2 linked regions of the Notamacropus eugenii genome follow. The protein of the gene in region 1 purifies or fractionates together with the protein of each later gene. This does not show direct contact. Links are inferred from orthologs where the notes say so. Each region holds a gene or a part of one and is shown on either strand. Other genes may lie near its edges.

Region 1 (7,220 bases):
CCTCCCTCACTCAAATCAAAGTCAAGTGCAAGTCATGTCATCATTTCTCTGACAGTATGGTCTTCTTTGGCAACAAAGGACAAACATACTTGAACTAATTAATTATTCTTGTTAATTAGGTTCTAAGGTCTATAACACTGAAGGCCTGCAAATATTGACAATACCCTCTAAATTTTAATACCAAGAAATGGTGGTCTCAGTCTAGTTACAGCTCAGCATATAATTCTACTGACAGAAAATGAGGAGACCAAGTTAGAAGAACTCTGGTTTTTTATCTTATTTCAAAGGTCAATTATCAGAATCAGGATTGCCCATTTTGTAGAACCTCCAGTAGAAAGCTGTTAACTAAGCCTATATTTATTGTGTTCATTCTCATGAATTTTCAATTCCTCCTGGGTTTTATCCTGAGCAAAGATGGAAGAAAGGTAAAGACCTAGAAATAGTAGTTTCTGCCATTGCCATTAAAATTGAGAATAGAAAATCGGTTCCTCTCCCTTTCTGGCTCATTGGTACTTAGGTTAACAATGCCACAAGCCTCAGTTTCTAGGAGAACATATTCATTAATCCTATACATCTTTTTATAAATGAAGGATTTATCCCTTGCTACATAGTAGGCAGCTCAATGGCACAACGGATGGTGTTGGACTTTGGAGTCAGGAAGGGGATAAACATTTATGTAGCACCTACTGCATGTCAGGCACAGTGCTAAGTACCCCAGCAAGGTAAGCGCTATTAATATTTTCATTTTACAGCATAAAACTGAAGCCACTATAGAGATTTGCCCAGGGCTACAAAAGTGGATAGTGTCAGCACAAATTTGAAGTCAGGTCTTCCTGATTCCAGGCCCAGCATTTCTATCTGCTGTGCGGCTCAGCTGCAAGAAGGAAGACCTAGTTTCAAATCCTGCCTCAGATATTAGTTATATGACCCTGGCCAAGTCAGCCTCACTCTGCCTCAGTTTCCACATCTGTAAAGGGAATAATAATAGCACCTACTTTACAGGATAATTGTGAGAATCAAATAACATAATGTATGCAAAGTGTTTTGCAAACCTTGCACACTGCTATGCAAATGTTACTGTTGCTTTAAAAATAGCTTACATTTTTAGTACTTTAAGATCTGCACAGCATTTTATGTATACTTTATCTTGTTTTATAAATAAAAAGTAAATATATATTAAAGGAATTTTAGTTTAGCTATAACTGCTTATGATTAAAGTTTATGCCATAAAAGCTTAAAAAAAATCACCAAGGACATTATGATAAATATACATTATTTTCTTATAGAAAACACTGTTACTAGCTAACAGTTTAAAATTTTTGTACAAATCTATTCCTAAGTGTTAGAGAAGGCTACAGTCACTAGAAAAGTAAACAGACACACAAACATCAAACCCTTGTGAATAACTCTACAACAGCAGGCCAGAATGGCAGATTATGAATAAAAGGCCCAAATAGTACAAAGTGGTGCTACGCTAGCATGAGAAAAGTAGCATTAATCAGTTTATTCTCTCCACACATTGTTAACTAGTCCCAGTGGAAGCTACTCAACATGCTTTTTTGGATAACCTTCTCTTTGGAGTGAATAAACCTTTAGTGACCAATCTACAGGGTGTTACAAAAATTTAGAGCAGTGCTAAGCTCTTAAAAAGATTACAACTGCCCTAAAACTTTTGGGACACCCTGTATCAGTGACTATGTATAAACTCCACTAAAGAAGAAAGAGCAGCAACCAAGTGAATATAAAAGACATTAAAAGAGCACTTCAAAATCAGATGTTGAAACCTATAATCAGTCAGATGATGTCACAGTAGATTTTGCCATCTGTTTTTTTTTCTAAATACCACATTCAGATGTCCAAAAGGATCATGGGAATGGGACTGTAAAAGTGGCCAAACCACCCTAAAGAATGCTCAAACAATGAAGTTACCCAGATTTTATCTGGCATAAGCATTTCACCAAGACAGTAGCATACAAGATACAGGGTTGGCCTTGGAGCCCGGAAAATCTGGGTTTAAATCCACAGACAAAAACCATTTTATCTCTCAGTGCCCCTCTTGAGTACCTGAGTTGTATGTCTTCATGAGGGAATGGGGCAGCAGGGGTAACATTTCCACACCAAGAGATCCCACTGTTGCAAACCTCAGTTTCGGTTCCTGACCAATCTGATTTCACGAATGTGGCGAAATAGTCTTAGTGAGCTGCATAAAGCAATGAGGCTGGGGGATTTCTGGGAGTCGGTCAGCAAGCTTGGACTTATCAGGCGCTTATTTCGTGCCAGGCACTGTGCTAAGCGCCGAGGATACACAGAATGGCAAAAAGACAAAAATCTACATGGTTCCTGCCCTAAAGGAACACACGTTCTAACGGCGGGGGCAACACGCACCAAGACTGTACGGGTCGCAAGTGCTTCAGGGGCAGGACTCGAACCCAAGTCTTGCTGCCCTGGAAGTCGGCTCTCTATTCACTACGCCACACCGCCCCATTATGGAGATGGACCCCCAAAGGGCAAAACAGTGCCAGAGATGCTCCACTTGGTTCTCCTCCGGCCCCCACCCCGTCTCTCTCTCCTTCCCCAAAGTGTGCCCTCTCTCTAAAGGTGCCAGCGTCCCCCAAACCGCCCCCTGCCACGGGGGCAGGCTGGCTCCAGCTCCGGCCCGGGGGGCTCCGGGGCGGCCAGCGGGCAGCGCGGGCACGGGACGGGAGCCGTGGGCACGCGGGCCCCCCCGGCCGGCTCACCTGAGCTCCAGCTGGTCCAGGCTCTCGAGCAGGCGGCTGGAGCGGTCGGCCATGGAGGAGGAGCGGCAGAACCTGCCCTCGTTGGCTTTCGCGTTGATCTTCGCCTGAGCCATGGGGCAGCTCGGCAGCGGTGGCTGCAGGAAGGAGGAGGAAGGGATTACGCGACTGCGGTGGTGCCACCTCCCTGCTGTCCTCCTCCCTCCCTCCTGCCCCCCCGGGCAGCCGCGCGCTAGTGGCAGCTCCGGACACCTCCTCCCTCTGACGCCTACAATGAGAGGCCGCGGGCAACATGGCCAAAGAAGGACACGGAGCCCGGCCGGCCGGTGCCCCCCGCCCCCTCCGCCACTCACCTCCATACCCCAGCCGGCCCCGCGGGGTTCTGCGTGGGGGAGGAGGCAGCGTGCCTGCCCCTGGGAAGGGCACGGGTGGGAGGCCCAGGGGCCAGCCAAGGAGGTGGGAGGACGTGACAGCTGCCAAGCTGGGATGGTCTCCTTCCAGTGGGCATGGCAGTGGGCTGAATTCAGGGGGCTGTTCTCCTCGCGTGAAAACTCCATGGAAATCACCTTCGGGGCTGTCTGGGGTTCAAGGGGAAATGTAACAGGGCTGTTGGAAAGACCAAAGATTTAAATAAGCCACTCAGAGCTGTGGCATGAACTTAAGCACCTCGGACAGTCAGTTCCCCATGCTTCCAGAGTCTTCACGAAACTAACTCCCCAAAGGGAGGAGATCTGAGACCCATCGGAAGTTTAAAGAGTTAAATAATCGTATAGGACCCTTAAGTGCTCCTAAATCAATAACAAGGAAAAGATAATTTCATCTTATATTATCTGACTTAAGGCTGGGAAAAAGGCGTGAAGCGATGGCAGTAAAAGGCTAGAAATATTTCCAAAACAATACTGTATTGTCTATTTTCGTTAGCTGCCCCATCCCCTTCTCTCCACTCCCCTCTCCCCAATACTCGGAACCTCCACTTCTCACCTGTGCTTCCCGGCTTCCTTTAGAACTCAGCTCCCATCCCGCCTACCCCAGAAGGCCTTTCTCAGGCTCCACTGTCCATCTGGAATGAAAAAAGTTGTATGTGGTCACCCCGGCTAGAATGTGAGCTCCTTGCTAGCAGAGGGCGTGTTGGTGGTTTTCTTTGCATCCCCAACGTTTAGCACAGTGACCAGAACAAGTTGTTCAGTCATGTCTGACTCTTTGTGAACCCATTTGGGGTTTTCTAGCAAAGATACTTGAGTGGTTTGCCATGTCCTTCTCCAGTTCATTTTATTTTATTTTTTTATTAATTAATTTGTTCTCAGTTTTCTACAATCCCTTCCATATATATCTTAGCTTTTTCCCCCTCCCTTTTCCACCTTCCCCCTCCTTTCTCTCTCCAGGAGACAATCTTATATAGGTTCTACACATACATTCTTATTAAATACATTTTCACCTTAGTCATGTTGCATGGAAGAATTAAAATGAATTCTTCAGCTCATTTTAAAGATAAGAAACCGAGGCAAAAAGGATCAAGTGACTTACGTAGGGTCATGCAACTAGTTAGTGTCGGAGGCCTTATTGGAACTCAGAAACGGGAGTCTACCTGACTCCTCTATGTCACAAACTCTCTCCGATGAGCCACCTAACTGCCCTGACTAGAATGGTGTAAAGCCCTTAATAAAGGCTACTGACTTGATTACAACTTACCTGCCACTGGAATTTTTCTGTTCTCTAATTCCCAGAGGTGAACACTGGTGCCAGAATATCAGGCCTGGGGCCCTGAGAAGGGTGGGAGTGAAAAGAGGGGGGAAATATGAAAAACTCTCTAAGGTTCCCTTAATCCACTGGTTTTGTAAACTTCAGTATTGAGGATCTGCTTCAGTTCCATTCATTCTCACTGAAGTAATTTTAATTACTAATTCTTCCTAATAAGAAAAATAATACAAATAAGTGTTGTAGCTAACATAGTTTAATGGAGATGCCTTAGGACTTGTCTCGAATATCCAACAATGTGTCATGTTATCTCAACAAAATTCAGATAGCCTATGGACTAGCCATAGAAGTTTCTCTGCTTAATGAAACAAAAGCTTCGCATATTGGCCCTTTCCTTTTTTTCATTATTTATTATGAACTTAACCTCAAATATCAACAGAATCAATTAAAACGTAGTTTTATGACCATTAATGCCAAAAAAAAAAAAATACCGTTCAACAAACAAAATGTCCACACCAGTTTCTCCCTGTGGCCCACCTGGTTTTGTTAAGAATACATGTATGCCCTTTGGAGGCAGTTTGGTGATACAGTGGATAGAGCTCTGGCCTGGAGTCAGAACAGATCTGAATGGAAATCCAACTTCAGATAATTACTAACTATATGACCTTGAGCAAGTCACTTAATCACTGTTTGCCTCAGTTTTCTCTACTGTAAAATGGGGATAATAATAGTACCTGCTTTGAAGGATTGTTGTGAAGATCAAATGAGATATTTGTTAAAGTACTTAGCACGATACTTGAGACACTATAGGCACCATGTAAATGCCAATTCCTTTTCCTTCTTATTGTCCCTTTTATCTATTCTTTATTATTTCTCTTTATACATTTTTTGGTTATATATAATCTAAGTATATACTGTTCTTAACTTACACATTATTTCATCTTTCTATATTTGTATTCTTCAGACTTACTCATTTTAATTGCATGATGCATTATATTACATTGACATAGCAATCTATTAAATCATTTCCCCTTTGACATTTAGATTTTTGTCAATTTTCACAATTATAAATAATGCTGCAATAGATGTATTTGAACTAACAGCTCACTTTTCTTTTTGATAATATTCTGTTTTCCCAATAAAGAGAATATTAAATCAGAATGTGATTTTTTTAATAACTCCCATGGCATAATGCTGGATTACTTCTCAAGAGGCTGAAGTATCAACATTTGAAATTCCATCAGTAACGTATGAATATACTTCTCTACACAGTTGAACCAGTCTTGTATTGTTACTTTGTCAGTTTGAGATTGGGATGGTACCTCAAAATTGTTGGAGTGTATTTTTTTATTAGTGAGATTAAACATTAAGTGATTACTTACCATTTGTATTTCCTCTTAAAAATCATCTTATTCCCATTGATTATTCACTAGATATTGAATTTTAACAGTTTTATAAATTTATAAAATTTAGGTATTGTTTTTAATCTGTTATGTTGACCATGATCCTTTTCCTCAATCTATTATTTTTTTATTCTTATATTTTAATATACATTTTACTTATGCCTTTTGTCATTACATTAGCCATTTCTCATACTCCTTCTATATTGAACCTTCCCTTGTACAAAAGAAAAATAATCAAAAACCTCTTGTAGAGACCTCTTTCTGGCATCGCATATCCTATTCTTTCCTAGTGGTCCCCTATTTCTCTACAGTGAGGACGTATAATTCATTATATCTTCTCTGGTACCTTCAGTGGCTTTTCTCTTGCTCAAAGTTCAGCTTCTTTTTAATTATTGGTTGATTTGCATTTTTGTAGGTTCTGCATATTTTGTTCTGTTTCAGTTCTTACAAGTTTTCCCATTTTTCTCTGAATTCTTCAGTCATCATTTCTTACTGTACAATAATTTTCCATTGTACTCATATGACTTAGAATTGTTGTTATCTTAGCTACTTAACAGTCTAAGAAGACCCATTTTGTTTCTAGTTCTTGGCTACCAAAGAATTTTGCTATGAATATTTTGTTACATATTGAAATTTCATTTCTGCCTTTCGATTCTGTGAGAGTATATTCCCAAAAGTGTGATTGTTGGGCCAAAGAGTGTGAAAGGTTTAGTTGTTTTGCTGTAAAAAAAAAAAACTTTATTGATAACTTTTCTTTTTGTATCACCTTCATCTCCTAATATCCCTCCCTTTTTTTCACCCAGAGAACCATTCTTTTTAACAAAGAATAAAAAAAAGTTCAACATAATTAACCAATAGATCACTTTAGTCCAACTGTATGTGATACTCCATAACCTTAACCTTCAATTTTTGTAAAGAAGGGTGTGTGTACGTGTGTGTGCATTTTCATATCTCTTCTTTTGTACCATTTGATCATTATAATCACATAACATTCAGTTTTAATTTTTTCTTGTTGTGTTCTGTTTACTTTGTTGTAGTCATATGTAGTTAGCAGCTATCTATTCCAGTCCAACTAGGAATGCCCTGGTAAATATTTAACAACTGGCTACCGGAAGAAAAAATATATGGAGATCACATTTTAAAGTTTAATCTGCATTATTAACAATTTCTCCATCACTTTCATAAATCTTGACAATCAACAAAATAATAAATCAAGCTCTGATTTGAAGAATTTGCAGATTTCTGAGGTGAAAACGCTCCCACTAAAAATTTAACAATTGGCTTTGAAGAGCCAACTGGATCCAGCACATGCTTGAATCCAACTCATATTCAAAAGGAATCTCCACTAAAATATACCTGACAAGTGATCATCCACCCTCTAATTGAA
Region 2 (7,497 bases), on another chromosome or scaffold:
TGATTTCGGGAACGCTGCAGGATGTGTGCCCTGTCTCGGATGTGATGCCCAATGGACATCTGCTCTAGCCCACTATCAGAGTCCCTCACAGTTCTCCTTGTCTCCCGGATCTGAAAAAAGGACAGAGAGCTTGTCATATCTAGCTACCTTGCACCCAAATTTCTACTGACAGCTCCTGTGGTCAAAATTTCCCTCAGACAATTCTGATAAACACCCTAGTGTTCTTCTGCATGACATCGAGCACCACTTGCTTGGAGAGCGGCGGGAGCCAGTCCAACACTGTGAATTCAGAGTTGCTCTACAACCTCCCCACAGCACTTACCCCACCTGGTGCTGAGCGCATCTCAGATGTTTCTTGGTAGACTTTGGGAGCACCATCACCCAGGTTGGAGTAGGAGATGACAGTGGAGGATGAAAAGGTCTGACAGTTGGCTCCAGTTGTCATGTGCTCCTGAAGAAGAGGGAGGCTGGAGCTGAAGTAGTTGGTGAGGGAGGGGATCCCACCCTCACCAGAGAGTCTCAGCATCTCAGCTTGTTTTTAACTTTGTCTCTATTGTAGTACTGTGAGAATTCACAAGTGACCTTGATGCAATTGAAGGAATTCTGCTCTAAACTGGATGCCTAATGTGAAATGTCTACCTTGAGCAAGCTTTTTGAGCAGGCACCTGATCTCATGTCTTCATGTAAATGCCAACTTCCAACCCAGAATTCAAGGGTCTAACTTTTTAGTGAGTTCTTTTATAGAAAAAGAGGAATCCTCGGGATGAGGCTGTCATTTAAGGTCAAAAGGTTAAAAAGACTAGGGGCAAAAGGCTTACCACATTCCCGATCATATCATTCATCATCCCAAACATGTCCATGAAACCACCTGTCTAGGGAAAGAGAGTTAGAAGAAAAGGCTCAGGACAAATCAATATACTCCAGGTTTCTTCTCCAATCTCAAGACTGGCTTGGGACCTTTATAATGCTATCTCTTTCCTCTCCCCCTCACACCTGGTCATCTGCTCTAAGACCTCTTGGGAGGCAGTGTGGTTTATGGAAAAAGCACTAGATTTGGAGTCAGAGGACGCGAGTTCAAATCTTAGCCTTACAACGAATACCTGTTTGACTTTGGGGTTTTTGTGACTGAGAAAATCTGGGTCCCTTCCAACTCTAAATCCTTTTATCCACACCCTGAATCTCCCTATCCAAACTGGCTAAAACAACACTGACCTCTTCTCCTCCTCCTCTGGCTTCATTCTTCTCCATTTCCTGGCTTCCCTACCTTCCCTTTCCTCTAACAACTCAACCTAGAGTCAGTGGATTTTTAACCTATCAAGAACCAATACTAACTGCTCCCCAACACACACACATAACAACAAAATAGGAACTCATAAAAAAAGGGAAAGAAAAAGAGTTCCCTTTCTAGAGATTCTGGACATGGGGGCACAGTTAACAAATATGTAACACTGTAGGCTTAAAGCTTTGTGAACACTCAATAATATGAAAGGGGGGAGAAGACAAGGAGACACCACTACAATCACTCCTAAAGACTCCTTAAAGGGATAGATCTGAAAACAGTACTGAAAGGGAATAAAGAACAAAGGATAGGAAGATATGGGGGAATGAGGACTTACCATTCCCAGCATCCCAAAGGGTGAGACAGCTCCAGCCTACAGATGCATGGACAAGGAGTAGAATTAGAAAATATACCTCCCCCACTGCGACCTCCTCTCCTTTCCTATAAATCTAGGTTAGGCCCACCTCCCCAAGTTTATTCCCATTCTCTGTTTAAGCATGAGGAATTTGGCGCCCCTGCCCCCATGAGGCAAGGGCAGGGATTTTTCCTCAAGTTCCTTCCCAATCCCAAGGCCTGGCAGAGTCTTAAACATGTTGCCCTGTTACCTGCATCCTTCGACTAGCAGCAGGTCGAGCCCCTGGGATGCTCCCATCTGTGATGCTAAGGAAAGGGCTGTAACCGAAGCCTCCTGACAACATCCGACTCATGTGCTGTCGGTGAATAGCGAAAGGGTCCCTGCGTAAAAGTACAAAAGGCATCATGTCAGGAAGGCCACAAGCCCCATGACTGGGTTCCTTCCTTCTCAAATTAAAACACAAAGAAAGGAAGGCAAAGAGAGAAGGTGTTTGCCTTGCAGTCCAGAGCAAACACTAAAACCCAATGTTCTGACTCCCCAAAAGAGAGTCTCCCAGCTTCTCCCGGGCTGGGGCTTGGAAATGTCCTGGTCTGTGGGTGAGGGGGGGAGACTCACATGAGGAACATAGGATCCTCAGGCTCTCCGTCCCTCATGAACCGGAACATCCTGCTCTCAGCTTCCGGGAGCTCTGAACTAGAGGGGTGAGGAAAGGAGATGGGAAACAGGGGTAAGAGGCCAGCAGGGAAGCAGATTCACCTTACCTTCAGGAGGGGGCCTCCAGTGCAATGGCTCTCACAGTACGGTTGCTCCCCACCCCGCACATAGGAGGAAGGGCTCTCTCCTGAGATGCCCAGCATAATGCAAACACTGGAAAGCCCTCTCAAGATGCCCACCATAATGCAGACTGAAGGGAAGCCTCTTTCCTCCAGATGCCCACATAATCCAATATGGGAGTGCAAGCGGCTCCCCAACTTCCCTTCCTCTCAGTGCTGGACAGTAATATTTTAAAATAAATACCACCATATCTGCTCCTTTTGTCCGGCCCCTCCAGGCCAGCCACTCTTTCCTGCTGTCCGGGCTGGCAGCCCCCTCCTTTTGTCCGTCCCTCCCCCGACATCAGGGCCCTCGCTCCATTAACTGCCCCGGCCACTTGGTTTCCTCTCCACACCCTGCCCTGCCTCCTCCCCACTCCAGGCCCCCACAGCCTTAACCTGGCACCCCGGCGGCCGATGGGTCCGTCCCGGCTCCCGGCCCCTTCCCCACTCGGAGCCCAGGCCAGCCCTGCCCCTCCCCCGCCCGGCCCTCTCCCCTCCCGGCGCTCAGGTCCGGCCTCGCACGCCCAGGGGGGCCCGGCTGCCCCGCGTCCGCCCCCGCCGCGACCCTCACCGGGCCCCGATCCAGGGCGCTGGGGGCCCGAGGCTCAGGCGCCCATCCGGCCGGGCCCGATCCTGTGCGTGGCGCAGGCCCGCGGAGCCGCGGCCCTGGCTGGGTGCTCCGCTGGGCCCGGGGCGCGCTGAGGCGGCTGGGGAGGCCCGACGATCCTTCCTTCCTTCCCTCCTTCCCTCCTTCTCTCCTCCTCCGCCTCCTCCTCCTCCTCCTCGTCCTCCTCCCGCTGCCGCCGCGGTTGCTACTGCTGCCGCCGAGCACAGCCAGGCTCAGCCACTGCCAGGCCCAGGCGGAAGTGACGTCACCGCCCCAGTCCTCTCTCCCCGCCCCCGCCCCTCTGGGCTTTCCCTGACAGCCGACCCGGCCAGGGGAGGTGCCCCGCAGGGGTTGGCCTGTATTTGCTTCCCTTTGGCGGTGCCTCTTCTCCCGCACACTTAGGAAATGACTGGGGTCTCTTGGGGTGATCCCTGGAAGAAGGAGGGAGGTGGGGGCGGGGGGATGATGCCGAGGATGGTAGATTTCCTATGGGGGGAGGAAGAGGAAGACCAAGGGGAGGGGGCAAGTTTTCTAAAAGGGAGGACAGATTTCTGGTAAAAGAGGGGCAGGTATGGGGGGACTATCTAGACGAGAAGGGAGGGGCACGTTTTCTATAGGGCCGAAGTAGGGAGGGCAGGCTTCCTATGAGGAGAGGGGGAGATGCCCCATGTGGAGGGAGGTTTCTTATAGCGGGGCGGGGTAGGATGGAGAGGGAGGGGAGATTTCTAAAAGAGGATGGACGGGTTTCCTATGGAGAGGAGGAGGAGGAGGAGGAGGAGGAGGAGGAGGGGGAGGAGGAGGAGGAGGGGGAGGGGGAGGAGGAGGGGGAGGAGGAGGGGGAGGGGGAGGGGGAGGGGGAGGAGGAGGAGGAGGGGGAGGAGGAGGAGGAGGAGGGGGAGGAGGAGGAGGAGGAGGAGGAGGAGGAGGAGGAGGAGGAGGAGGAGGAGGAGGAGGCAGGAGCGGGTTTGTTGTGAGTGTGGGGGAGGTTTCCTATAGGGGAATCGGAGGAAGAGGGATGGGCAGGTGTCTGAGAGAGGAGGGGGAGCAGGGTCCGGGGGAGCCGGGGGAGAAGGGGCCGGGGCCGGGGCAGCCGGGGCCGGGGCCGGGGCCAGGTCCGCGCAGGCCCAGGCAGAGGCGAGCCGGGCAGTGTAAGGACGGAGACTCGTTTTGCTGCAATGAGTGGGGAGCTCAGCTCGAGGCACTGAACCCTGAGCCCGCCTCAGCCCAGGGACTGGCCACTGGAGGGCTCTGTCCTCTCACTGGACGTCTGCGGGGGTGGGGGGTACCCCAGTGACCCCCTCTGTAAAGGGAGAAGCCTGGGGATCAGAACCCTCCAGATGGGCGCTCTTCTCCTTCCCGGCCCGTGTCCCAGCTCGCAGGCGTTTGCCCCTAAGAGGAGCCAGGACAGAAGGGGTCGTGGCGGACAGTGCAGTAGCCAAAGGGCTCATTCCCAGATTATTTTGGAGGAGGGGAAGCTGGATTTCAGAGCAGAAACGACTTCCGGACCCTCCAACCGCGCCCCCCCCCAACCTGGGCCAGAGCTGAGCTGAGCACGCAGGTGTCCTCAGGTCGACCTTGGATATTCTGGTTCTTGGGTCAGCCTGCCTGTTCCCCTCCGGGGGTTTGCCCAATTTAGATTGAACTTTACACAAAACATATACAAACTCTCACCTCCCTGACTCTTTTTACCTGATCCTTCATCTGGTTGGAACAATCAAACCCTGAGGAAAAGGACAGTTGGCATTATACCCCCTCTTTTTGGGGGGGGGGCGTAGAATGCCGGAGAAAGGAGTATATTACTGAATCGGGGAAAATGCTAGTGAAAACTTCTTTTGGAGATTTCCATTTTAATAGGTGGGAAAAACTGAGAAGGCGGGAAATAATAGCAGAAACAGAAAGCCTCATAGGCAGTAAGAATAAAAGGAAATGAAACTTTATTGATAATAAAAGGGAAAAAACTGCAAAAATCTGTGCTCACCCTGCAGATGCAGCAGTCCACCAGCTCTGTGGTACTCCTGACCTCCAAATTTTCTCTTTCCTGCTCTCTTAACCTTAAATTTCCTCCCTTCCTTCAACAAATGTGAAACAATTTTGGTAGTCAGGGAAGGGGTGAAGATAAAAAGTTTAGATAAGACCTCCAGGAACTTAGAGTCTAGTTGGGCAGTATGTGGTCAATTAATGTGACACAATCAACCTAAAGGCAACGATGTGGTTAAATGTGTAAATGAGATGGTTCATAATTTTGATCTCTTTATGAAGTGTGAACCTCTAGGTTAAGAACTGAAGAGCTATTAGATTGACTAACATGACAGAACAAGAAAATGATAAATGTTGGGGAAGATGTGGGAAAATTAGAATACTAATGAGTTATTTGTGGAGTTGTGAACTGATCAACCATTCTGGAGAGCAATTTGGAACTATGCCCAAAGGGCTATAAAACTGCATGCCCTTTGACCCAGCAATACAACTTCTAGGTCTATATCCCAAAGAGATCATTAACATGGGAAAAGAACCCACATGTACAAAAATATTTATAACAGCTCTTTTTGTGGTAGCCAAGAATTTGAAATTGTGTGGAATCAATTGAGGAATGGCTGAAGAAGTTATAGTATACAAATGTGGTGGAATTCTATTGTTCCATAAGAAATGATGAGCAAATAATAAAAATGACAATTCTACCTAAATTAATTTACTTATTTAGTGCCATACCAATCAAACTATCAGATAATTATTTTGTAGAACTAGAAAAAAATAATATCAAAATTCATCTGGAAGAGCAAAAGGCCCAGAATAGCAAAGGGACTAATGAAAAGAAATGCTTGGGAAGGTGGCCTAGTGCTACCAGATCTCAAATTGTATTATGAAGCAGCAATTATCAAAACCACTTGGTACTGACTAAGAAAAAGAAGGGTAGACCAGTGGAATAGGTTAGATACTCAAGACACAGTAGTCAATGAATATAGCAGTCTACTGTTTGATAAACCCTAGGACCCCAGCTTCTGGGATAAGAACTCACTGTTTGACAAAAATTGCTGGGAAAACAGGATAACAGTGTGGTGGAAACTAGGCATAGACCAATACCTGACAGTGTACACAAGAATAAAGTCCAAATGGGTACATGATCTAAGTATAAAGAATGATACTACAGATTAGTGGAGCAAGGAATAGGGTGTTTATCAGATATATGGAGAAGGGAAGAATTTTTGATTAAACAAGAGGTAGAAAACATTATGAAGTAAAAATGGATAATTTTGATTACATTAAATTGAAAAGTTTTTGCACAAACAAACCCAAAGCAACCAAGATTAGGAGGGAAGAAGAAAACTGGGAAAGAATTTTTTAAACTAGTGTCTGTGATAAAGGCCGCATTTCTAAAATATGTAGAGAACTGAGTTAAATGTACAAGAATACAAGTCATTCCCCAATTGATAAATGGTTAAAGGATATGAACAGGCAGTTTTCAGAGGAAGAAATTAAAGCTATCTATAATCATATGAAAAAATGCTCTAAATCACTATTGATTAGAGAGATGCAAATTAAAACAACTCTGAGATACCATATCACACCTATCAGACTGGCTAACATGACAAAACAGGATGATGATAAATGTTGGAAAAGATGTGGGAGAGTTGGAACACTAATCCATTGTTGGTGGAGCTGTAAGCTGATCCAACCATTCTGGAGAGCAATTTGGAACTATGCTCAAAGGACTACAAAAATGTGCATACCCTTTGACCCAGCAATATTGCTTTTAGGACTGTATCCCCAAGAGATCATAAAAATGGGAAAGGGTCCCACATGTTCAAAAATATTTATAGCAGCACTCTTTGTGGTGGCCAAAACCTAGAAATCAAGGGGATGCCCATCAACTGGGGAATGGCTGAATAAATTGTGGTATATGAATGTAATGGAATACTATTGTGCTGTACAAAATGATGAACAGGAAGACTTCAGAGAGGCCTGGAAAGACTTAAATGAACTGATGCTGAGTGAAAGGAGCAGAACCAGGAGAACTTTGTACACAACAACAGCTACAGTGTATGAGGATTTTTTCTGGTAGACTTAGAACTTCATTGCAATGCAAGGACTTAAAAAATTCTTAATAGTCTCTTAAGACAAAATCTCTTCCACATCCAGAGAAAGAACTATGGAATTCAATTGTAGAATGTAGCAGATCATTTTCTTTTGTATGTTCGGGTTTGTTTTATGATTTCTCCCATTCATTTTAATTCTTCTATGCAACATGACTAAGGTGAAAATGCATTTAATAGGAATGTATGTGTAAATATATAGGAATAAATAAATAGGAATGTATGTATAAAATTGTATGCTGTTTCAGGGAGGGAGGGGGAAGGTAGGGGAAAAGGGGAGGAAGGAGGGGGGAAAATCTAAGTTATATGGAAGTGATTGCAGAACACTGAAAACAAATAAAATAATTTAA

Evidence for each region.
Region 2: the proteins of BAG2 (region 1) and MLF2 purify together in Homo sapiens (affinity purification with mass spectrometry; 4 studies listed by BioGRID and IntAct, with this or other methods). This does not show direct contact. The link is inferred for Notamacropus eugenii from reciprocal best matches to the Homo sapiens genes BAG2 and MLF2.

What each region holds. Positions count from the first base shown.
Region 1 is NC_092873.1:125,381,011-125,388,230, reverse strand, and holds the start of BAG2 (BAG family molecular chaperone regulator 2), read right to left. Parts: upstream 3,337-7,220; 5' UTR 3,293-3,336; coding exon 3,089-3,292; intron 2,873-3,088; coding exon 2,739-2,872; intron 1-2,738. UniProt on the Homo sapiens protein: Co-chaperone for HSP70 and HSC70 chaperone proteins. Acts as a nucleotide-exchange factor (NEF) promoting the release of ADP from the HSP70 and HSC70 proteins thereby triggering client/substrate protein release.
Region 2 is NC_092874.1:195,041,867-195,049,363, forward strand, and holds the start of MLF2 (myeloid leukemia factor 2), read right to left. Parts: upstream 3,332-7,497; 5' UTR 3,021-3,331; intron 2,328-3,020; 5' UTR 2,300-2,327; coding exon 2,250-2,299; intron 2,015-2,249; coding exon 1,885-2,014; intron 1,653-1,884; coding exon 1,617-1,652; intron 873-1,616; coding exon 819-872; intron 452-818; coding exon 323-451; intron 111-322; coding exon 1-110.